3 linked regions of the Canis lupus familiaris genome follow. The protein of the gene in region 1 purifies or fractionates together with the protein of each later gene. This does not show direct contact. Links are inferred from orthologs where the notes say so. Each region holds a gene or a part of one and is shown in the gene's direction. Other genes may lie near its edges.

What was found.
Region 2: the proteins of BAG2 (region 1) and RASAL2 purify together in Homo sapiens (affinity purification with mass spectrometry; 3 studies listed by BioGRID and IntAct, with this or other methods). This does not show direct contact. The link is inferred for Canis lupus familiaris from reciprocal best matches to the Homo sapiens genes BAG2 and RASAL2.
Region 3: the proteins of BAG2 (region 1) and MLF2 purify together in Homo sapiens (affinity purification with mass spectrometry; 4 studies listed by BioGRID and IntAct, with this or other methods). This does not show direct contact. The link is inferred for Canis lupus familiaris from reciprocal best matches to the Homo sapiens genes BAG2 and MLF2.

The regions. Positions count from the first base shown.
Region 1 is NC_049233.1:24,631,422-24,638,345, forward strand, and holds part of BAG2 (BAG family molecular chaperone regulator 2), read left to right. Parts: intron 1-3,334; coding exon 3,335-3,444; intron 3,445-5,816; coding exon 5,817-6,229; 3' UTR 6,230-6,924. UniProt on the Homo sapiens protein: Co-chaperone for HSP70 and HSC70 chaperone proteins. Acts as a nucleotide-exchange factor (NEF) promoting the release of ADP from the HSP70 and HSC70 proteins thereby triggering client/substrate protein release.
Region 2 is NC_049228.1:21,361,828-21,369,676, reverse strand, and holds the start of RASAL2 (ras GTPase-activating protein nGAP), read left to right. Parts: upstream 1-2,445; 5' UTR 2,446-2,769; coding exon 2,770-3,367; intron 3,368-7,849. UniProt on the Homo sapiens protein: Inhibitory regulator of the Ras-cyclic AMP pathway.
Region 3 is NC_049248.1:7,806,009-7,813,986, reverse strand, and holds MLF2 (myeloid leukemia factor 2), read left to right. Parts: upstream 1-2,574; 5' UTR 2,575-2,779; intron 2,780-3,345; 5' UTR 3,346-3,373; coding exon 3,374-3,423; intron 3,424-3,675; coding exon 3,676-3,802; intron 3,803-4,012; exon of another isoform or gene 4,013-4,066; coding exon 4,067-4,102; exon of another isoform or gene 4,103-4,738; coding exon 4,739-4,792; exon of another isoform or gene 4,793-5,182; coding exon 5,183-5,311; exon of another isoform or gene 5,312-5,478; coding exon 5,479-5,638; exon of another isoform or gene 5,639-6,040; intron 6,041-6,137; exon of another isoform or gene 6,138-6,228; coding exon 6,229-6,416; 3' UTR 6,417-6,441; exon of another isoform or gene 6,442-6,655; 3' UTR 6,656-7,205; downstream 7,206-7,978.

The DNA.
Region 1 (6,924 bases):
TCATGTGTATGTGTAGTTAAGTTCATGTGTGTTTATACTTGAGGGAGTTAGGGAAAGTAGTGCTTCTGTAGTTTGATACGGGCTTTAGACCAAAAACCTACACAGGCATTTCCTTTAAATTCAGGAAAAGACAAAGACGCCCTCTCTCATCACCACTGTGTAATAAAGTAACAGAGGACTTTAGTCAATACTATAAAGAGATATAAGCTAGTAAGATTTAAAAGGAAGAGATTAAATCTGTCATTTTGTGTAGATTATATGATCATCAATCTAGAAGAATCAAAAGACAAATCATTGGACAGCCCGGGTGGCTCAGCAATTTAGCGCTGCCTTCAGCCCAGGGCCTGATCCTGGAGACCCGGGATCAAGTCCCACGTCAGGCTCCCTGCATGGAGCCTGCTTCTCCCTCTGCCTGTGTCTCTGCCTCTCTCTCTCTCTCTCTCTCTCTCTCTCTCTCTCTGTCTTCCCTGAATAAATAAATAAAATATTTTTAAAAAGACAAATTAAAATTAATAAATCTGTTACCAATTACAAGATGAACCTTACAAAAAACAGCATTTTCTGTTTTCCTAACCAGCAATAACAAGTGAGAAATTATAATTTAAAATAGGGCAGCTGGTTTGCTCAGTCTGAAGAGCATGCAACTTTTGATCTTGGAGTCATGAGCTTGAGTCCCACATTGGGTGTAGAGATTACTTTTCAAAAAACTTTAAAAAAATAAAAACATTAAAGATAATTATAATAAATAAAATGTATTATTTACAATAACAGTATCCACAAAGGATCAAAGCTCTCAAAAGCGTCCACAAAGACTATTAAGAAAACTTCAGGGCACCTGAGTGGCTCAGTCAGTTAAGCATCTGCCCAGCTCAAGTCATGATCCCAGGGTCCTGAAATGGAACCCCATGTCAGGCTCCATGCTCAGGGGGGAGTCTGCTTCTCCCTTTCTTGCTCCCCCCTTGCTTGTGTGCTGCCTCTCTGTCTCTCTCAAAATAAATACATAAAATCTTAAAAAAAAAAAGACTACTTCAAAATTCTAATAAAGAATATGGAAGATGATCTGAATATATAGATGGGTGAAATGACAATATTCTATCTTTTTTGTAAAGATTCTATTTATTTATTCATGAGAGACACAGAGAGAGAGGAGACACAGGCAGAGGGAGAAGCAGGCTCCATGCAGGGAGCCCGATGTGGGTCTGGATCCCAGGGCCTCAAGATCACACCCTGAGCCAAAGGCAGATGCCCAACCACTGAGCCACCCAGGCATCCCGAAATGACAATATGCTAAAGACGCCATATTTACCCCAGTTCTTTGAGAAACCTAAGAAACTTACTCGAAAGTTAATATGGAATACTAAAACTCTAAATAACTATCTTTAAAGAAGATTAGAGGGCTGGTTCTACCAAATATTAAGGCATATTACAAGGCTATTGGTATTTTTTTAAAATGGATATTGGTGTAAGAACAGTTAGATACACTACTAGATGGAACAGAGATTTCAGAGTAGACAATGTATAAGTCAGAGGAAAGATGGATTTTTGGTGGATATAATGTTGGAAATGGTTCACTATTTGGAGAAAAATAAAACAAAAAATCCTTACCTAAACACATATAGGTGGATTCTAGATGGACTAAGCCATAAATATGAGAAAAGTAAAACAATGAAGTTAATAGAAAGAAATGTAGGAAAATACCTTATGACCTCAGATGTAAAGACCCTTCAGAAGCATAAGCCACAAGGCAAACAAAACCAAGAAAATATTAATTTGATCACTTCAAAGTAAGGATATCTATTCAGTGAAGAATATCCCAGGCAAAATTCATCGATGATAGGATCGAAGAAGATTATTACAATGTCTGTAACTAACATGGGACTAATTCTTTGAGTATGCAAATCAGCAAGAGGACAGTAACCCCCATTTAAAAAAGAAAAAACAAAATAGGCAAAGGCTGTGAACAGGCTAACAAGAATACAAAGAGATGTCCAAAATTATTAGTAATGAAAGACATGCAGATTAATTATGAATATATCACTGTATACTTAGTAGACTGGCAACAAATAGGAAATTGGAAGATGCTGAGTGTTGGTAGGGGTGTGGGAACACAGGGATTCCAATGCTTTACTGCTGGGAATATTGTGAAGGGGTTCAGGACAGGGCCCCCCAGAATGTGCCACTTTGGCATGTGGGTTCTTTTGAGCTGAAGGCACTTGAGAGCCTGCAGGCTCAGGAGAAACTTCTGCCCCTCCCTTAACCACACAGAAGAATCTAAATTAGGGGTCTTTCCCAGAATAAAGGTTATAAGCAGAGATAAATTTTATCTGAGTGGCCCATCTGTATGGCAGGGCAAACATCTAATTACCAAACATCTGCTCTTCTTATCACCCTGCGTTCCTTTTCTTTGAAGTCCCAGACCATTAACCCCCTTCTCCTTCTTTCAGAATAATAGGTATACCTCATTTTGCCTAATTGTCTTTGGAATTTCCATGTGTATGTGGATTCCCCTATGTACACTATTAAATTGGATTTTCTCCTGTAAATTGTCTCATGTCAATTTGATTCTTAGTCCAGTTAGAAGAACCTTTGAGGGGACAAGAATACTTGCTTCCCAACAGTGGTCTAGTGTGGCCATTCTGGAGAACAGTGGTAGTACCGAATTAAATGGTGGGTGCACATACCCTGTGTCTCAGCAGTTCTGCCCTGAGATAAATCCTAAGAAGGTTCTCATTCAAGTCCATAGGGGACCTGTATTCATTGAAGTGCTTTTTTGTGCTGATGACAAGTAAGGGGACATGGTAAGCATTTTCACTGGGAGAGAGGAGGTGAAATCAGGTGAATATACATGGAGTATCATGCAGCAATCAGAAGCTACTGATTAGATATTCACATAGGAATCTGGATGGTTCTTAATAAAATGCTGAGTGAAAAAAGAAACAGTGAAATATAAATTGAAAATAGATGAAAACACAAATACAGATTTTGTTATGAACGAATACAAAATAGATAAACACTAAATAGAATGCCATACACGCGAGGAGGAAAAGGAGACTGGGGTGGGTGGATTTAAAACAATAGAAAAAATTTTTAAATATATATTTTTTTGACAGGCAGCAAAGCAGAGTTTATTGAGCGATAGTAAAGTGATGGTACAAAGCTCCCGAAGAGGGAGGGCCCCAAGAGGGTTGCCCGAAAAATTTTAAAGTTTTTAAAAAAGAATAAAGAACTTTTCAAAAGTGTTCCTAAGGATCTTTAAACTTGAGATGGAGCAAATAATAGAGATGAGGAAAAGGAAACTTCCCTGTGGTAACTTTTGTTTTCCCAATTTATATAGGGTGGAAGCCTTGAGAGAAGCCGCAACTGCTGTTGAGCAAGAGAAAGAAATCCTCCTGGAAATGATCCACAGCATCCAGAATAGCCAGGATATGAGGCAGATCAGCGATGGTGAGAGCATTTCCACAGAAGGGAGCTCATCTTTTCCACTCTTTCATGGGATTTAGGATAAGTGTGGGTCCATTTTCACTTGACTTGAGGAATGAGTACACTTGGCTTCAGCATTTCCCATGAGTAGCGGACAACAGCTGTCAATTTATTATTACAAGAACCATTTACAAAAAAAAAAAAAAAAAAAAAAAAAAGAACCATTTACCCAGAGGTCACCCTTCTGGCCTGCTGCCTACCTCAGGGGCATGGTTAGAAATGTTAAAAAAAAAAAAAAAAAAAAAAAAAAAAGGCCTCCAAGCTCCAGAAGAGGTGGTCCCAAGCAGTAAGGTGATGCCTTTGACCTCAGGTTTACAGTCCTGACTTCAATTCCTCAGAAGTTACTGGATGGCAGAGAGGACAAACGAGAGGGGTTGAGGTATTGAGATAAAATCCAGGGGAAAGAAATAATGGACCCAATAAAACCCCATTAATGTAAAAATGTGCTATCATTTCTATATGAAAAGCATGAGTTTCCGTGGAGGAATAGGGCACTTGTATTTCCTTTCACTGGCGGTGATCTTTCTAATTTGGTTGCTCCGGGGCCTCCCTAGACAAGCTCATGGTCCAACAGCTGGTGCCATGAGTGTACAGTCTAACTCCAGGCCCTGCACGGTTAGACACACATGGCAGGATCAAGATCTGGCCGGTCTTTTCATCATCCTGGCCAAAGATTGATGAATTAAGAAGGGGGTTACAGGGAAAAAAAAAAAAAAAAAAAAAAGGGAGTTACAGAACAGGACAAAGAGGAGATTACTGACTTTTTCATGTAAATAATGAAATGTGGATCCTTTTTCCCACCATTGCCTCTCTGTGCTGGCCAAGACTTAGAAACCACTGGCCTGCTTAAATTTCCCTGGAAAGGATGAGTCACTGCCGAATTTCGAGGCCAGCTTTTTCTCCACCATCATGGTTATGTTTTTTTCAGCCAAAATTGGAGCATTGTATTCTGATATCCATGCAAAATATACCATCTCAAATTTTGCCTCTTTGGCATAAGAATTATTTCAAGCTGATTATTTTTGAGAAACTGCAGACACAGGAGAAGCTCTGAAAACAGAATAGAAGTTACTTGTTTGTAAGGGATGTTTACATTTATAAGGGATATTTCCATTTGTAAGGGTGCCTGCCTCCGTGTACCAGGAAGGATAACTGTGAATCACAAGAAACCCTTATATACGCCAAAGGCAAAGCAACCCTTCCCTGGTTTATCCTGCTTTTACTGGTAACCTCACTAAAGAGGGGAAGGCCTCCCTCAACATCTTACTCCTCAGCTGAAGATGGTTTTTAAGGTGGTGGCTTGGGCTCTCCATCTGAGAGGGAGGCCATCTCAGTGTCCCTAAAATTCTGCTATGTATATGTGAAGTATACATGTTAATAAGCTTCTGCTTTTTTTCTTGTTAATCTGTCTTTTATTACAGGGTTTCTCAGCCAAGAACTCAGAAAGGTACAGGGAAAATTATTTTTCCTCCCCTACATGCACATCCTTATCAAGAGATCCACTGCATCTGATCTCTTGTAACCAGCACAAAACCCTGGTTATGCACGCCATTTGCTCTAGGTTAAGACTTGATCTCCATCCGAGTTAGAAATGCATACCTGCCCACACTTTTTCAAACGTGCCCACTTGGAAAAGTCATCTGGTATCCCATGTATAAAAGTTGTCAGAGGGGATCCCTGGGTGGCGCAGTGGTTTGGCGCCTGCCTTTGGCCCACGGCACGATCCTGGAGACCCGGGATCGAATCCCACGTCAGGCTCCCGGTGCATGGAGCCTGCTTCTCCCTCTGCCTATGTCTCTGCCTCTCTCTCTCTCTCTGTGACTATCATAAATAAAAAATTAAAAAGTAAAAAAATTAAAAATAAATAAATAAAAGTTGTCAGATAATGGTGCCTGGGTGGCTCAGTCCATTAAGCACTCCAACTCTTGATTTTGGCTCAGGTCATGATCTCACGGTTGTGAGATCAATCCCCACATCAGGCTCATACGCTACACGTGAAGCCTGCTTGAGATGGTCTGTCTCCCTCTCCTTCTGCCCCTTTCCCACCTGCACACATATGTGCTCACTCTCCCTCTCTCTCAAAAAATGAAATAATAAAAAAAAGGAAATAATAAAAAATAGACTTTCAGGGAAAGGTATTCTGCAACCTCTCTCCGTAATATAATATAGTTTATTAGTTAATCTTATGTGCTATAATTTTGACTTTTACATTTAAAAATTTTGTAGCCAAGGTGCTTACAGAAAATAACTTTAGCCACAAATGAATGCCTAAATGTTTTCAATATAGGTAAGTTTATGTCTCGTATTGATTGATATTTCAAACTTTCCATGTTTAGGAGAAAGAGAAGAATTAAATCTGACAGCAAACCGTTTGATGGGACGAACCCTCACCGTTGAAGTTTCAGTAGAAACAATCAGAAACCCCCAGCAGCAAGAATCCCTAAAGCATGCCACCAGGATTATTGACGAGGTGGTCAGTAAGTTTCTGGATGATTTGGGAAATGCCAGGAGTCACTTGATGTCCCTGTACAGTGCATGTTCATCTGAGGTGCCACCCGGGCCTGTTGACCAGAAGTTTCAGTCCATAGTAATTGGCTGTGCTCTTGAAGACCAGAAGAAAATTAAGAGAAGATTAGAGACCCTGCTTAGAAATATTGAAAACTCTGACAAGGCCATCAAGCTGTTAGAGCATTCTAAAGGAGCTGGTTCCAAAACTCTGCAACAAAATGCTGAAGGCAAATTTAATTAGTTTTGAAACATAAGAGCATTTAAAAATAATGGCATAAAAATGATTAAACACTAGTTCTTTGTGTTAGGTATAACCTTTGATATTGATTGTTGTTTCAGATGAGGAAAATATTCCAGTGTCATCAGTTTTGTGAATGATACAATTAAAACTAGAAATATTTTAATTATCTTTCTAGAAGTTTTTAGAATGGATTCTTGTCTTGTGTTAGGCTCTAGCACCTAATATATATATATTTTTTACTATTCTGTGGATGAATACTTAGTATATAGAAGAGAGTAACTGCTCAGCCTGGGCACAAAGCATTATTCTGTTCTGGGCTTTGTCTGGCATGGAGATACTCGGGCACATGGGGCATTAAGTTGACTAGAAATTCTTGACCTTAGGCAGCACACAAACTTACCACCACACATCTACTGTTAACTATGTGGTGTGCTTAAAAGGACAAAAGAAATCACAAAGTAAGAAACTTTCCCTACATTATCTTTTTCAGAAAGCACTTTTTTTGGACATCTATCAAATTATTTTGAATTTAAGATTTATGCATCTGATAATATGAATATAAGTCTTGAATTATATAAAAACTTGGCATAAAGTGTGAGAGAATTCAACTCTAATATTATCACTGTGAACAACTATATGTCCACCTCATCTTTTTCCAAGTGCATAATTTCTCTAAATTTTTAATCATTACAAAA
Region 2 (7,849 bases), on another chromosome or scaffold:
ACAATTTAGTTTATTCATTCTACTGTGATGGGCATTTGGGTTGTTTCCAGTTTTTGTCTGTTCTAAATAAAGCTGCTGTGAACATTGAAGTATAAGTATGTGTATTTTAATTTCTCTTGAGTAAATATGCCTGTGAGTGAAGTGGAACTGCAGGGTCTTGGGTAGATGTAGGTTTTTTTGTTTTTTTTTTTTTAAGATTTTATTTTATTTATTCATGAGAGACACAGAAAGAGAGAGAGAGAGAGAGAGAGAGAGAGAGAGAGAAAGGCAGAGACACAGGCAGAGGGAGAAGCAGGCTCCATGCAGTGAGCCTGATGTGGGACTCGATCCCAGGACACTGGGATCACGCCTTGAGCTGAAGGCAGATGCTCAACCGCTGAGCCACCAAGGTGTCCCTAAGATGTCAGTTTATAAGGAAAATGTTAAATTTGTTTCATAGTAGTTGAACCATTTTATGTTCCCATTACCAATTATGAGTTTTCTGGTTGCTCCACTTCCTCACCAACACCTGTACTGTTTGTTAGGTCTTTAAATGTTAGCCATGCTATTGGATGTGATTGATATTTCATTATACATTTAACTTGTATTTCTCTAATTACTAATGAGGTTGATTATTTTTTCATATGCTTATTGACCATTCATATAGATTTCTTTGTGAAGGGTTTGTCCAACTTTTTTTGCCTATTTTTTAAATATTAGGTTTCTTTCTTTTTTTCTTTTTACTAATTGTAGTTCTTTATATATTGTAGTACAAAGCAGAAGATAATTGAATTGTGAATATTTTCTCCCATTTTGTGACTTATTGATTTTATAATGTCTTCTACTGAACAGACACTTTTGGTTTTTGTGCAGTTTTATTTATTTATTTATTTATTTATTTATTTATTTATTTATTTATTTATTTTTAATTTATTTTTTATTGGTGTTCAATTTACTAACATACAGAATAACCCCCAGTGCCCGTCACCCATTCACTCCCACCCCCCGCCCTGTGCAGTTTTATTTGTTTATATTTTCCTATCATGGTTATTGCATTTTTGTATTCTAAGAAATCTTCTACCCTCAGTTCACAAACATAGTCTATGGTTTATTTTCTAAGCATTATAGTTTTATATTTTACATTTAGGTTTATTTTCATCACAGATAAATTTTGTAGATGGTGCGATGTGCCATTAATAGAGATTAGAACTTAATGTTTATTGTTTTTGTCTGTGCAGAGTCAGATTTCTGGGGTTTTTTTCTTTTTGCTTTTTTTAAAGAGAAAATTTTGTGATTGTAAGACACTCTACTTTGATGTGTATTGCTTTTGGGAAAGCCAAATACTTCAGCATTTCTTTAATATAGACATGTATAAATTTGGAGCCTATAAAAACAAACAAAAATGGGATTATTTCCTTATGATAATGGAAATAACTAAAACACTTTAATATGTTTAAAAGAATAGATAAGGTACTATAAATTTCCTATTTCTATAGTAGTAACGAGACTGTGAGAATGGTTTTTCATTGTACGTGTTCTACAACTATGTTTTTACTTTTCCAGATGAAATTATTTTTTCTAAAACTTGTAAAGTGATTTGATTATCATGTTGTATCTCTTTTATTGGTGGCCTAAAGTCTGTCAGGCTTTCCATTTGAAACCCCTGTTTTTAGGGTTTTATGAGCAGACATTTGAAGAAAAAAATTAACCAGCTGGCAACTTGGCATTCATGATCTTGTTTCACTATAAGGTACTTTGCTTTAAGAAGATTTTAAATAGTCAGCTCTTTTTTTTTTTTTTTTAAATTGTAAGCAGCACAAAGAAGAGGCAAGGAATTTCTTTGTTTAAACAGATAGGGAATGTATTTCCAGACAGCTTATCCCAATTAGATTTACAAAGGAAACTTTCCCTTTTAGAAGTCATTTAGTATATATGTTCCTGTGTTCTGGTTCCCACAAGATATTGCCTCAAGACTTTGCTTTTCCTTTGCTGCAGTTCATAGTAAATATCCTCTGTCCCCGTTTTCTTTTCTGTCCATTTATGCTTTTAAAATTCTCCCTACTATATTTATCTACATTTAAGATGGCTTTAAATTTTGGCATTTTTTTGGCCATCTTGACTTGTCCTTGCACTGTCTGCTTGAGTAAAACAGTGTATGACTTTACCTATTGGTTGAAAAACAGTATTAATTTTGAGTGAAGTGGTGGTGTAAATAGCAATGATTTTCTTGAAATTAAATTTCTAAACTACATATTTTTAGAAACTATTCTGAAGAGTTGTCACTTCAAGGGCAGGCTTAGGCAAGTTTTCTTTCTTCTTCCGTAAAATGTGGATGTCAGCCTGACTACTTTCACAATCTGTTTTTAACCCACTATCATTTGCATGGTGAACACTTAACTGCTATTGGTCTACAAAGGTGTTTGTGGGTTTTTTTTGCCGTTTTTATTTCACTTCTTATTTTCTTTAAAATCATTTCCTGAAAACTTAGCACAGAAATGTAACCTACAGCAGGAAGCGAGATGATCTTCTGGAAATCTTTGCTTTTGTTGCACTCTGAAGATTCTTTGCTGCAGGCAAGAGAGTTTTGGGTGCTGCTAAAATTTCGGAGATCTGGGAAAATGGGGTAATAACATGACACCAGCTCTTAAGCAGCAACATCTGCTGTGGTTCAAAGCCACACAAAGAAAGCTGCTTAAGCAGTTGAATATTTTGGACTGCACGGACAAGTGTGGTTCAACTGCAAAGACTGCAGAGTAGAGGAAACTTAAAGTTAAGAGAAGTTGTTAAAAAATGGAGTCGTGGAAGATGAGCATCTTTAAGAGACAGACATCACCTTGTCCTCCAAGCTATCGAAGATCTTTGTCAGAACCTGCTTATGCAAAATCAGAGATAGGAATAAGCTTAAAGAGTTATCCATGGCGTGGTCCAGTGAAAATCAAGAGGAAGAAAAATGAACATGCTGTTTCCAGTCTAGGAAAGCCACTGGGTGCTTATCGGTGGCAAACACATCCCAGCTGTAGGTGGAAAGGGGGCAAAAGGGAGAGGTTACAGACTAATAAAAGAGACTTGGATGAACGGCAACAAAAGGTCCTGCCAGAGATGGTTGGTAGTAATGCTTCTTCCTCTGCTATTGAGGTCCTTGGAGCACCAACAGAGAAGCTGAACCTGGTCAACACCCGGTCACTTCGGGTTCCATTCACCAGATCTATTTCAGAGCCAGAACCTCGCTGCAGTATCAGATTTGTTAGATCATGGCCGACTACAGGAAGGTCAGAGGAGTCTGAACAGCAGGGATATTTCATCCGTGGCATTTTCTCTACTCTTTCCAATGGCTTCTCCAGGATGCTGAGTCTGAAAGGAGAATCAACCAATGAGCCAGTAAGAGAAGGTATATTGTGATGAATAAGGGGATAAAGAAGGGATGGCTCAATTTTAGTTACTATTGGAATTTTAATTATTTCTGTTTTATAATAAGATAAACCATTCTATTTGATCATTATAAAATGAATTTGTACAGTTTTTATTTTTTTATTTTTTATTTTTTTAAATTTTTATTTTTTTTTAATGATAGTCACAGAGAGAGAGAGAGAGAGGAGAGAGAGGCAGAGACACAGGCAGAGGGAGAAGCAGGCTCCATGCGCCGGGAGCCTGATGTGGGATTCGATCCCGGGTCTCCAGGATCGTGCCCTGGGCCAAAGGCAGGCGCTAAACCGCTGCGCCACCCAGGGATCCCACTTTGTACAGTTTTTAAAGTGATAAACACTGCTTCAGAAATCCTTTTTCAATGAATGATAGTAAATAATAGTAAAGAATACATTGTTTAAATTAAGGAATTTTTCCCCTTTATGTTATATTCTTGAATTCTACTTTGGAGCCTATGTAAAAGTGTTTTGTATCATTTTGTTTCATTTTGTTTTTTAACCCTTATCTCCACTGATATACTTTTGCAAGTTAAATGAGATTTAGAGGAGATATAATCAAATAATTTCCTCATGAGAAAGTTGAGAATTAGAAAATAGAATTATTATATTCTCATAAAAATAAATATTATTAGAACTATTTAGAGCAGAATTGTATTGAGAGCTTTAAATTGGTTAGAATTTTCATTTGCTTGTGTCATAAAACTACACAATTTGAAGATGAAAGCAAGAGATACAAATCTTTTTTTTTGATACAAATCTTGAATGTGTTCAGATGATAAAATAGAAGCTTATGTTTGATTCATTTTTTTTTTAAACCTCATGTGGGACTTATTTAAACTTAAAAATCTTTTATATTGATGGTAGCACTGTTAAATACAAAAAAAGAACTCTTAAAGTTTTATGTGATTGCCTTGGAAATGATTGACCTTATCTGCTAAACTATTTCAGTTATGTGTTACGACCATGTTTGTTTGTTTGTTATTTTTGGAAACTTCAGCACTAAAACTGATAATATCTCCATCCAGTTGAGGTCATTTTTGAGCAAGCTCTTACTATTAGAATATTTCAGCTTATCTTTACTGTAAGGTTGACCACATCAGGAAAAGTTTAAACTCTTCAGAAAATTATGGGAGTTGTTGAAGAATTATGCTGTTGGAGTACAGTTTAATTTCTTTTAAAATGAAGATGGAGAATGCAAAGGCTGACCTATCAGTGAAAAATTAAATAGTTTTCCAAATATATGTGTGCCAGTAATTCGGCATTCCTTTTAAACTTTATCCTCCCTAGATTTTCCTTTGCTCAGTGAGTTTTAATGATACTATTAAGTGTATCTATTTTCTTCTTACCCTTGACTTATAAATAATTACCAAGAGCAAAATCTTTTTAATATGCCTGCATTAACATTCTGTTGAAATTTCTGGAAGATGATGTTGTTGGATTTCCTTGGATGCCAGTGTGTGTGCTTCCTTATCAGATGATGACAGGATGATGTAAAGGAGTAGTAATTTCCAAGGAAATTAAGAGTTTGAAATAAATTCTTAAGATCAGTGCCTCTCAATAGTTAATATGTGTGCATTTGATAAAAGAAAGCTATAGGGTTTTGGGGGTTTGGGTTTTTTTAAAAAAAATGTTTGTGTTCATAAAGTTTTTGGGCTTTTGTACTTAACTTTCAGTTTCTAGTATATTTGCATATTTGCCAAGCTATTGGCTGCCTAGTATGAATGATGTGCTCAAAGACTGTCCCTACTTTTTACACATTTATGGTTTACTTAAGAAGATACAAAATAGTCTATATTTACTGTATTCCTAATATATTTCCTAATATTCTTTATTGCTTATAAGCATATAATAACTATATATTTGGAAGCATAAACAGTTTAAGGTGCTATGAGAAGGGATTTCAAGTCCAGTAATTAAAGAATAGTACACATTATTCTTTCCAGTCAAATCAGCAATTTTTATTAAATCCTGTGATCCTCCCCTAAGTGCTTCACCAGTGAAGATTCAAGCTCTTAAAACTGAAATACTGTTTAATACAAAGATTGGAGCTCATTCTTGTCTGGAGATATTTTCTCTGTGAGCAGTAGCACATGCCCAGCAGAGTCCATGTCTGTACTTTTCAAACCTTCTGGAGGTGTAAACTTTCTTGCATTTCCATTCCCCACAATAGAAGGAATACAATTGGCTCAGAACACCTGAATTCTACTTCCATCTGTGCCACTTATCATCTGTGAAGTTTCATCTCTGAATCTCTCTTTACACTTTATAGAATAATAATTCCTTCTTCACAAGTGATAAATGAAATTTGAAAATGCTATGTACATTATAGTTTACATAACATTTATTCATAGGTGCCATGTGAATAAAAAGTGTTCTTATCAGAGTTGCTACTATACTATTGTAGCAAGATATGGAATATTAATCCATAGGTGTCTTTAAGACTGTGTTAAGAAAATTAATATATTTCTTAATTTGAAGCCCACTAGTGTTTGTTACTTTTCTTTCTCAGTATGACTGCAAGATACAAGAGGCATTAAGTAATGTAGTATGCATTTAAAGCATATAAAACAATGTTTGGCAAATGGCATTTGTTCAATATATATTAGATCTTGTTTCTGTTAGGAAAACGAACTTAAATTGATAGAGACCTTTTTTTTTTTTTTAAACTAGGAAGGAAAAGGAGATACCTGATTGTTGAGTGTTGTAATTAACAAATATAAGTAAATTGCAATGTTCTTAAATTCTGTGTACCCTCATTTGTTCTGAGCGTGTGTATGTTCTGAGCATAAACAAGTTTCTTGTGTCATAGCTGACCATAATTACCCTCATGCTTAAAGCAGTGAAATATATCATGCTCAGGGTCCCTAAACAATTTAAGAGGGAAAAACTCAAAGGCTTCACTACTATTCCAGTTGTGGAGATACTCATTTATCTGATGTAGGTCAGATAATATATAGGTCAAATGACATGATATAAAAAATATGATATACTTTTTATAGCTAAAAGTAATTCCAGCTGCTGTGGGGCCCATGTCTAAGCACTGAGTCAACATGTTTGCAATAGTGGAAGTAAATTGAAACACCTGATAAATGAGGAGTAACAAACCTATCACAGCATATCAAATCAACAAAATGTCATAGGGCCTATTAGTTGCCACTCACTAGCTATGTGAAACTTAGAAAAATATATATATATTTTTAAAGATTTTGTTAATTTATTCATGAGAGACACAGGCAGAGGGAGAAGCAGGCTTCCGCAAGAAGCCCGATGCGGAACTCGATCCTGGATCTTGGGATCACACCCTGAGCCCAAAGCAGATGCTCAACTGCTGAACTACCCAGTCATCCCGAAACTTAGAAAAAACATTATGTAATGGTAAACATACATGGGGTGTAAACTCTATGTTACTGGGAGGCAATTTGATTCCTAAATTATCATTCTTCCTCAGGTAGGCTTAACAAAGAAAAAAGGAAAAAAAAAAAAGAAAAGATAGTAGGGAAGAAAATTAAATATACCCTATGTAGCTCACTTTTTTAAAAAAATATTTTATTTATTTATTTACGATAGACATAGAGAGAAAGAGAGGCAGAGACACAGGCAGAGGGAGAAGCAGGCTCCATGCCGGGAGCCTGACGCGGGACTTGATTTCGGGACTCCTGGATCATGCCCTGGGCCAAAGGCAGGCGCCAAACCACTGAGCCACCCAGGGATCCCCTGTAGCTCACTTTCTGGTTACAGTTTATGTCTGCTTAAAATGACATTATAATATCATAGTGGTAAGAATATTCTCTCCCCAGTGTTAGTTTTTAAAGACCTCTAGCTTGGGAATTAGAAGACAATTTTTTTTTTCCTACATAGTTTTCTTTTAGCATGCTCATTCAATTTTTAAGCAAAATTTTTTATGAAAAATCCTATTGGAAAGGGCCTCATACATTAATTCAACAAGAGTTTGTTGAATTCCTAAGACGCAGTTCTTAGTGCTGGGAATAAGCACATTATTTTATTAAGTAACTAGCAGCTTCCTCACTTATTCTAGGAAATCATTAACCAATTTAGAAAAAAAAAAGTACTTTAAGTTCCTAAGATGTACATCTAATAAATATTGATGAGGATTAATTAGTATAAGAACTTATATAATGCCTCAGATCTTCTCTATAATTGGACCTTCTCTTTTTCTACATTGTCATTAAAAAAGATGTCTGCAAAATACAGAAAAATATGTTCCCTTTATACCGTTTTTCCTAAGGGTCACTGCATTTCTGTGATTGAGTGTAACACCTACCTAGCTAGGATATTAGTTATTAATTAGCTATTTATAGTTGCAGGATTAATATTTGCACATTACATATTAATATGTACCAAATTATTTTTTTCACATGACTTCAGCATAGGTTTAAAATATTCAGGGCAGCCCTGGTGGCTCAGCAGTTTAGCGCTGCCTTCAGCCC
Region 3 (7,978 bases), on another chromosome or scaffold:
TGGGTGGCGGGCACTGAGGGGGGCACTTGATGGGATGAGCACTGGGAGTTATTCTATATGTTGGCAAATTGAACACCAATAAAAAATAAATTTATAAAAAAAAAATAAAAGAGGGTTCATCTTCTGGCCCAGCTCTACTCTCACAAGGACTTTCTGACTTTGGCTCCATCAGATAGAGCAGTGAACACGTAAGAAACACATTGTTCCTCTTCCTTCCCCAAATCCTATCCTCCTTGTGTTAAACCTCACTCCTGGCAGGGCTCACTTGCCATCCTACATCTTCTCATATACGGGACACTCCAGTGACTGAGAAATTTTTGTTCTTCAGAGTTCACCGGACAAGGAAGGAAAGAAGGAAGAACGGGAGAGAGAGACAGGAAATGGAAGGGACGGAAGGCAAGAGAGAAAGGGAGACAGACACAAACTCTGGTTGTGAGGGACATAAAGGTTACTCGTAAAATTATATTCCTTCCATTTTTGGAGTGGATGGTTGACTTTGTGCTATGTCTCTGGGGACTCTGAAAATGAGCTCTTGCACTTCCTTCTTCATCCCCACCCAGTCAAGAATTTCTTTTTAACCTCAGACAAAGCCCAGGTTTGGAGCTTTCCCTTCTAGTTCGAAGCTAAGCTGTAATTTGTAAATTCTCCTAGGACAGGTAATACACTGATTTAAAATCAGGCAAAGGTAAATATGACTGGTATCTGATTCTTTGGTTTTCCAAGGAAGAGAAGAAAGGCTTCTAGGGGGCAGCCCCGGGATGGCTCAGTGATTTAGCGCTGCCTTCAGCCGAGGGCGTGATCCTGGAGACCCAGAATCGAGTCCTGCATCGGGCTCCCTGCATGGAGCCTGCTTCTCCCTCTGCCTGTCTCTCTGCCTCTCTCTCTCTCTCTATGTCTATCATGAATAAATAATAAATAAAATCTTAAAAAAAATAAAATAAAGGTTTCTAGGTCCCTAAAAGCAGTAGGTAGACAGCACCAGGCAATGGAAAAAGAAAAAAGGAGGAGGCCAGAAGCTGAGTTTTATCTCCTACCCAATTTGGTGAAGGTTGGACATAATGGAATGAGAAGGGAGAAGCTGGAAGGTGAGGAATCACACTTAGTTGAGTCTGGGCCACAGAACTCTGAGAGAAAACCTGATCACATGTCAACTGCCTTAGAGGCAAAAGGAAAAGGGGCAGATGCAGAGTGGAATGTCCAGAGATAAAGGATCTGGAGAAAAAATTTAAAAGACTTGACTAAGTCTCTTCCCCCAGAAATATCAACGAAAAGCAAATTTTCTTTTATCCTGTCTTTATCTTTCTTTGGTTTTGCCAGCCCGGCAGCTTCCAAATTATCACTGTTCCCCTCTGTCTCCACTATTGTTTTTCCCTCACTAATAATGATCGCGTCCCAAGAAACCTGAGAAGCCCTGCTCCCGGTACCTTTTCCTGAGTCACCTGGGACCCCCGTCCTCCTTCACCCCTAGGGAAGTATTGGGAACAAGTCTTTGGCATTGTTGGGCTCCACAGAGCGCTAATATGGCTAGCAGCCAGAGTAAAGAACCAGGGAGAGCTAGAGTTTGGATGAGTCTGGTTTAAAGTCCATCGTAGACCGTCCAAATTCTCCTGACACCCTGGGGGAGGGCCCTTCTCTCCAGTTGGGCCAGATTTTATGCAAGACATTTAGTATGTCAAAGTTTCAGTCTTTGGCCCTGGCCTTCTGGGTCTGATTCCAGCTCCGCCCCTGGGTGATCCTGGTTAACGGAGCTCTGCACCCCTTCCTTCTCCCAAACTTTAGACCCTCGACCCACCTACCTGACTAGAGGCAGGAAAGATCAGAGCGGGACTGGGAGCTCCTGGGAACACAGCAGTGAGAGAAAAGCAAGGGGAGAAACCGGCATTCCACGAAACGATTTCAGAACGACAACCTTTGCCCAGGCCGACCCTGCGCGCGGAGGAACCGAGGGTCCGGGAGCAGGGCCAACGGCAGCTCCCGAAGCCCCGCCGTTCCAGACCGGCCGAGGAGCGCCACCTGGCGGCCGGCCCGCCCACCCCGCATTCTCTCCCGCCCGCCGAGTTCTGGAAGCCGGAGCCAGACAGGGGCCGAGCGGTCACCTCCCCTGCGACGTCAGCCCGAGGGCCCCGCCCCTGCTTGGAACTCGCCTCCCCCCGACAGGACTGGCCGCGGCGCCTCCCCCGCGAGGCGGCTGCCCTGCCTCCCTCCCGGGCCGAACGCCGCCGGCGGAGAAAATCTGCTTAATATTCCCCCCAGGATCCGCCCCACGTCGTCGCCCGCGGGGAGCCGCCCCTCCCCCCGGCACCTGCCCCCGGGCTCTTCCTTCCCCGCAGGGAACGTGCCGCACCGCCCCGTCCCGCCCCGAGCCTCACGAGGCGGGGCGCCCCGCTCTTCCCCGCACCCCCACGGGGCGCCTCCTCCTGGCCACAGGGCCCGAGTCCAGCTGGGGATGAGGCCCCCTCCCCTAGACCCGAGGACCCCGCCGCCCGAGCGGCCCCGGCCCCAGCCCCAGCCCCTCGCTCGCCGGTGGGCGGAGCTCCGCGGGCCCGGCCCCGGGGCGGGCCGTCCCCCCGTGACGTCACTTCCGCCCGGGCCTGGCCGCGGTTCGGGCTCCGCGGGCCGTGGGGGGGTACGGAGGTGGCAGCCGTGGGAGGAGGCGGCGCGGGAGGCCGAGGAGAGCCAGCCCGGACCAATCCCGCGTCCCGGGCCGCAACCCCCGAGCCTGCAGCGCACAGAGAGGCGAGACCGGCCGGATGGGCCGCTGAGCCCGGATCGGGGACCGGTGAGGCTCGAGCGGCGCGGGCAGCCGGCGGCAGGAGCGGGCCCGCGGAGCTGCGGGTCTGGGAGCCTGGGAGGCGGGGAGGGGAGGGGGCCGGGCCTGCCGCTCCTGCTCGCCGGGCGGGGAGGCGGGGGCCGGGGGCCGGGGGCAGCGGTGGGGATAGTGAGGCCCGCCGGGGGGAGGCCCGGCTGCGGCTGGGGTGAGGAGGGGGCGAGGTGGCCGGGGTCATTGCTGGGGCGAGGGCCGGCCCCCGAGATTCGCATCCGAAGCAGTGGCGTCGGGGAAGGGGGCGTGCTTCTGGCCGGGGCTTCGGGGAGAGGCTGGCTGAGTGGGGGAGGCAGAAAACTGCGAGGCTGGGAAAAATTTTCCACAGCCCTCCTCGAGAGGTTTGAAGAGCCCTAATCTCCCTTGAGGGTGGTGTCCAACACCGCCTGGAGAAGGGGCTCACTGGAGTTTGTGGGGGTCGGTTACAGCATTTGCAAGGGACAGTGTTCTCAGAGTCCCTACACTGAGCCGGGTGTGCAAAAGCCTGGCTGGCTCCGAGTATCTGAGCCTCCACATCTTTACAGTGTGGAGCCCCCTGGAGCTAAAATCAGGATGTTCCGCTTCATGAGGGACGTGGAGCCGGAGGATCCCATGTTCCTGATGTGAGTATTCCCTCCCCCTCCTGTTCTAGAGCGCTCATCCTACTCCACTTCGGGTCTCTAAGTAGTTCAGACAGACATCTGGGTTCCCATTGCTGGCATTGGTTGGAACTAGCTGGATACTCTGCTTCAGCTCCAGCTTAGGGGAGGAAATAGGCATCTGTGCCACCTTCTCCCTTGGACTTTTCTTTTTTGTGGGGGAGGAAGGTGTTGACTGTCCCTTCTGCCATCTACACTGTATACTCACTTCCACAGGGACCCCTTTGCTATTCACCGTCAGCATATGAACCGAATGTTGTCAGGTGGCTTTGGATACAGCCCCTTCCTCAGCATCACAGATGGCAACATGCCCGGGGCCAGGCCTGCCAGCCGTAGGATGCAGGTAATGATGCCGAGACATACCCAACACCCAAGGAAATGCTGGAGGGTGGCTAATAAAGTCCTTGATTTCTCTTGCACTTCAGCCAACTTAGCAAGTGGAATGATCATTTTTAGGAGTTGGGGAAGGGGTCTGGCAAAAGGGCTTTGTGATCCCCTTTTGAGAGGAGGATGGAAGAAAAAAAAAAAAGCTGAGACCATGCACTTGGTTTGGGACTGTAGTGACATAGGACGTGGTCTTTAATTTGTTCTTTATGTTTTCCTGTAGGCTGGGGCTGTCTCCCCCTTTGGGATGCTGGGAATGGTGAGTCCTAATGTCCTCGTGTCCTTCCATTCTCAGACACACTCTATATCCTTAGATGTTATTTCCAAATGTGGCTCTCTGGAACAGCCTTATGGGTAACCCTAAAATCTTTTTATAGTGTTCATAAAGCTCTGGGTCTGTTGTGTGCTGAGTTCTGTGGGTTAAAGATGCTAACTTACTGATTCCTCCATTCTAAGAGCCACACCTATTAGGAAAATGTAATTGCCTAGCAAAGTTTGTCGTTCTGAGGATGGAGATGGAGTCGAAGGGCCAACCGAGATGGCTTTTAGAAGTTTGCTGTTGCTGTTTTTATGGTTTTATGCCCAACCCTTTTGTGGGTTAGAATCTATTTACTTGGGTGTGCTTCCTAAAGATAGGAGGAAATAGGACAGTTGGGAGAAAGCAGATTGGATCAGAGAAGCTGTAGAGACTGAGGAGGAAGGCAGCATGCGCAGGGAGGGAGATGTGAAGGGGAACACCCCCTGTTCTGGTCGCGCTGAGGAAGAGACAGAGCAGTGGCTCCATGTGAAGAAGAGAAAGGGAATGTGTAGCCACGTGTCTGTCTAGCGGGTACCTAAAGATAATCTGAGTTCTGACTGTGCTTTCCTGACTCTGTTTTCCATCTCTTTGCTGCAGTCGGGTGGCTTCATGGACATGTTTGGAATGATGAATGACATGATTGGGAACATGGTGAGGCTCTTACCCCATATGCTTTTGTACTCTTGTTCTCGGTGATAGCTGGCAACACCTTGAGTCCTTTGAGGCAGGAACAGGGAAGAGTGTGCTGGTGAAGGAAGGGCTGGAGCTAGATAAAGTCATGGAGCCCGGAGAGCACTGGGTTCCCTTATCTGCTCTCATGCCTGAGTATGAAGCAGCAGCAGCAGTCTCATGAAGTGTGCAATTAAGGCTCCGTCTTATTTATTGTTGGGCTCCAAGGAATTTGGGGGTTACTGATGAGTCCTGACATTTTCTTGGCTCCCCCGTGCTGTGAGAAAGGGACAAGAACAGGCAGCTGAAGTGTGGTGTGGGATTCCTTCTCCAGAGGGACCATTCAGTCCTGTGGTACCTTTTCCTCCTCAGGAACATATGACAGCAGGAGGCAATTGCCAGACCTTTTCATCCTCCACTGTCATCTCCTACTCCAATACGGGTGATGGCGCCCCCAAGGTCTACCAGGAGACATCAGAGATGCGTTCGGCACCAGGCGGGGTGAGTTGGGCAGCTTCTCACCTCCCAGAGAAGGCAGCACTGAAGGCTGCAGGCAGCAGCCCTGCCTTCCTTTCTCAGGACTGGGCTGGGGGTGGTTTGCTGTCCTGGTGTGGTGTGGCCAGGGCTTCGGAAGGGGTGGCTGAGGGCTGTGTTCTCCCCCATCCCAGATCCGGGAGACTCGGAGGACCGTGCGGGACTCAGACAGTGGGCTAGAGCAGATGTCCATTGGGCACCACATCCGAGACCGGGCCCACATCCTCCAGCGCTCCCGAAACCACCGCACGGGGGACCAGGAGGAGCGGCAGGATTATATCAACCTGGATGAGAGTGAGCCTCCTTCCTGCACATCACCCTTCTGACCTCTGGACCAGTAGCCACTGGTCCAGTTCCTGTGAGCTAGGAGATAAAAACTTTTGTTCCCTACCTCTGTAGATATTTCTTGGCAAAGTTATTGGGGGGGGCCCACTTCTTACCTCGCTTGAGCCTTGTCATCTTCAGGGGCTAAGTCAGATGCTGGCAGGGTCAGTTCTTTCCTTTCTCCTCCCCCTTTTTTTTCCAAGTCAACAAATATTCATCAAATACTTGATAAATGTGTACATGGGACTATGCTCCTTAACTTAATAATATCCCCTTCCTGATATCCTTCTTCAGTAGCCCTATCTTGGGCTTGTTGGTGGCTTCCATATTAGGATAGCTATGGGCTCTCAGCTAGCAGAACCATATTGAACCCTGAGTTAGGGAGAAAAGAAATTTTTCTTTATGCTGCTCCCCCTCAACATATCCCCCCCACAACATAACACTTTCAGCCTTTGCCCTGTTTCTTCACCTGAGAAGGCCATGGCTCACTCTTGGCACTTGATTCCAGAAGCCAGCCTGTGCGTTTAGTAAGTGTCACGCCTGGTCTCTGTGCTCCTCAGGTGAAGCCGCAGCATTCGATGATGAATGGCGGAGGGAGACATCCCGATTCCGGCAGCAGCGCCCCCTGGAATTTCGGAGGCATGAGGCTTCAGGTGGTGGGGGACGAAGGGCTGAGGGGCCGCCCCGCCTGGCTATCCAGGGCCCCGAGGATTCCCCCTCCCGACAGTCCCGCCGCTATGACTGGTGAGGGCCCTAGGCCTTCAGCCTCTCCTGTAAGTACCGAGGGGGAGACTTGTAAGGTGTAGAGCACGGAAGGGGGTGGAGGAGCCGACCTGTGCACCTTCCTCTGCAGGGAGGTGTTGCCTTTAGTGGTACAAGTTTTCACTGGTGTGGAAAGAAGAATGCTCTCGCTGGAACAGGGGATTAAACCCAACTCCCGGCTTTTGTCTTTGTTTTGACTTGTGCTCTTCTCTCTTCCTCTTCCAGGTACAGGCTGAGAGGCTGAAGAATCATCCCCTGAAATAACATTTTCCTTTCCAACTCCCACTCCCAGTTTAATATTAAATTAACAGGCAAGCTGGCCCCCACCTCTCCCTGGGGGTCTCAGGGAGGACCTTTCATTGCCCCGTTTACCTACTTTCTCCTTCTTTAATCCCCTACCACGATGACTCCATTTCTCCTGTGTCTGCTAACTTGATTTTTCATTCTGCTGCTCCATCTTTGAATCTCCTTACCTGCCCCATTCTACCCTTGCCATGCATTGGAGGGGCTTTGGGGGTGAGCTCTGGGTTTAGGGGCTTACTCCATCCTTCACCCACCCTGGATCTTTGCCCACCTCCACCTCAGATCCCCTGCTGCAGGGTCCATAGCCCTCATCTAGGGCTGTGTGGAGGGAGAGGACTGGCTCCCCACCCTTCCTCCCTACCCACCCCCTGCACATCACAGAAATCTTCCCCACACCCTTCTCTGCCTTTATTTTTTGATTCGTGCAACTTGTAACTAGGTGTTTATGGAATAAAGGAGAATGGAAAAAAGACCAAGTGGGATTCTTGTTTTACTTTTGATCTTTACCCTGTTCGGTTTTACCTCGCCTGCTGTCCCCCAGGCCCCTTCTTACATTCCCTCTGTCTCCATGTGTGGCCTTCCTAACTTGAGCTCAAGCCCAGTACCTCCGTGGTAATGACAGTGGGACTGCCGGAGCCCCAGCAGAAGAGAAACAGTGGCAGCACTCATCTGCACTAGGCTGGCGGGGGGCAGGGGGTAGGGAACACTAGCAGCTGCCTTGCTGGCTGTCTCCCCTGCTTTTGCTACACCTCACACGTCTGGGGGGAACGTAGAGCATATCTCAGAGGCATCTGAGGAATTTGTTGCCCCTTGCCCCCTGGGGTGAGTGTCTCCCCTGGACTATGGGTGGGAACACTTGTACTGAGCAGGAAGGCACAGGCCTTCAAGGGGAACGCACCCCCAGTTCAGCAATGTTCTTCCACCCTCAGTGGTTGAGAATTTGAGCCCAGGGAAGGAGACCAGAGAAGAAAACTAATCTGGAACTGGAGTGGTACTGGAAGGGCATGAGGTGCTCAAATTTCTCAAGGTGTTCACTCTTGCTTGACCTGGCTCAGCCAAATGGGGTCACCCTGTTCTTCCTGGGAACTTATTTAATGATGGCAGATGCTTATAAAGAGTGGTGATGGTTTCTTCTTTATGAAAATCTTCAGTTCCTTGCAGTTTGTGGTAAATCGAAGTCAAAAAACAAAGTAATGGGTGCCTGGCTGGCCCAGTCAGTAGAGCACACAACCCTCAATCCTGGGG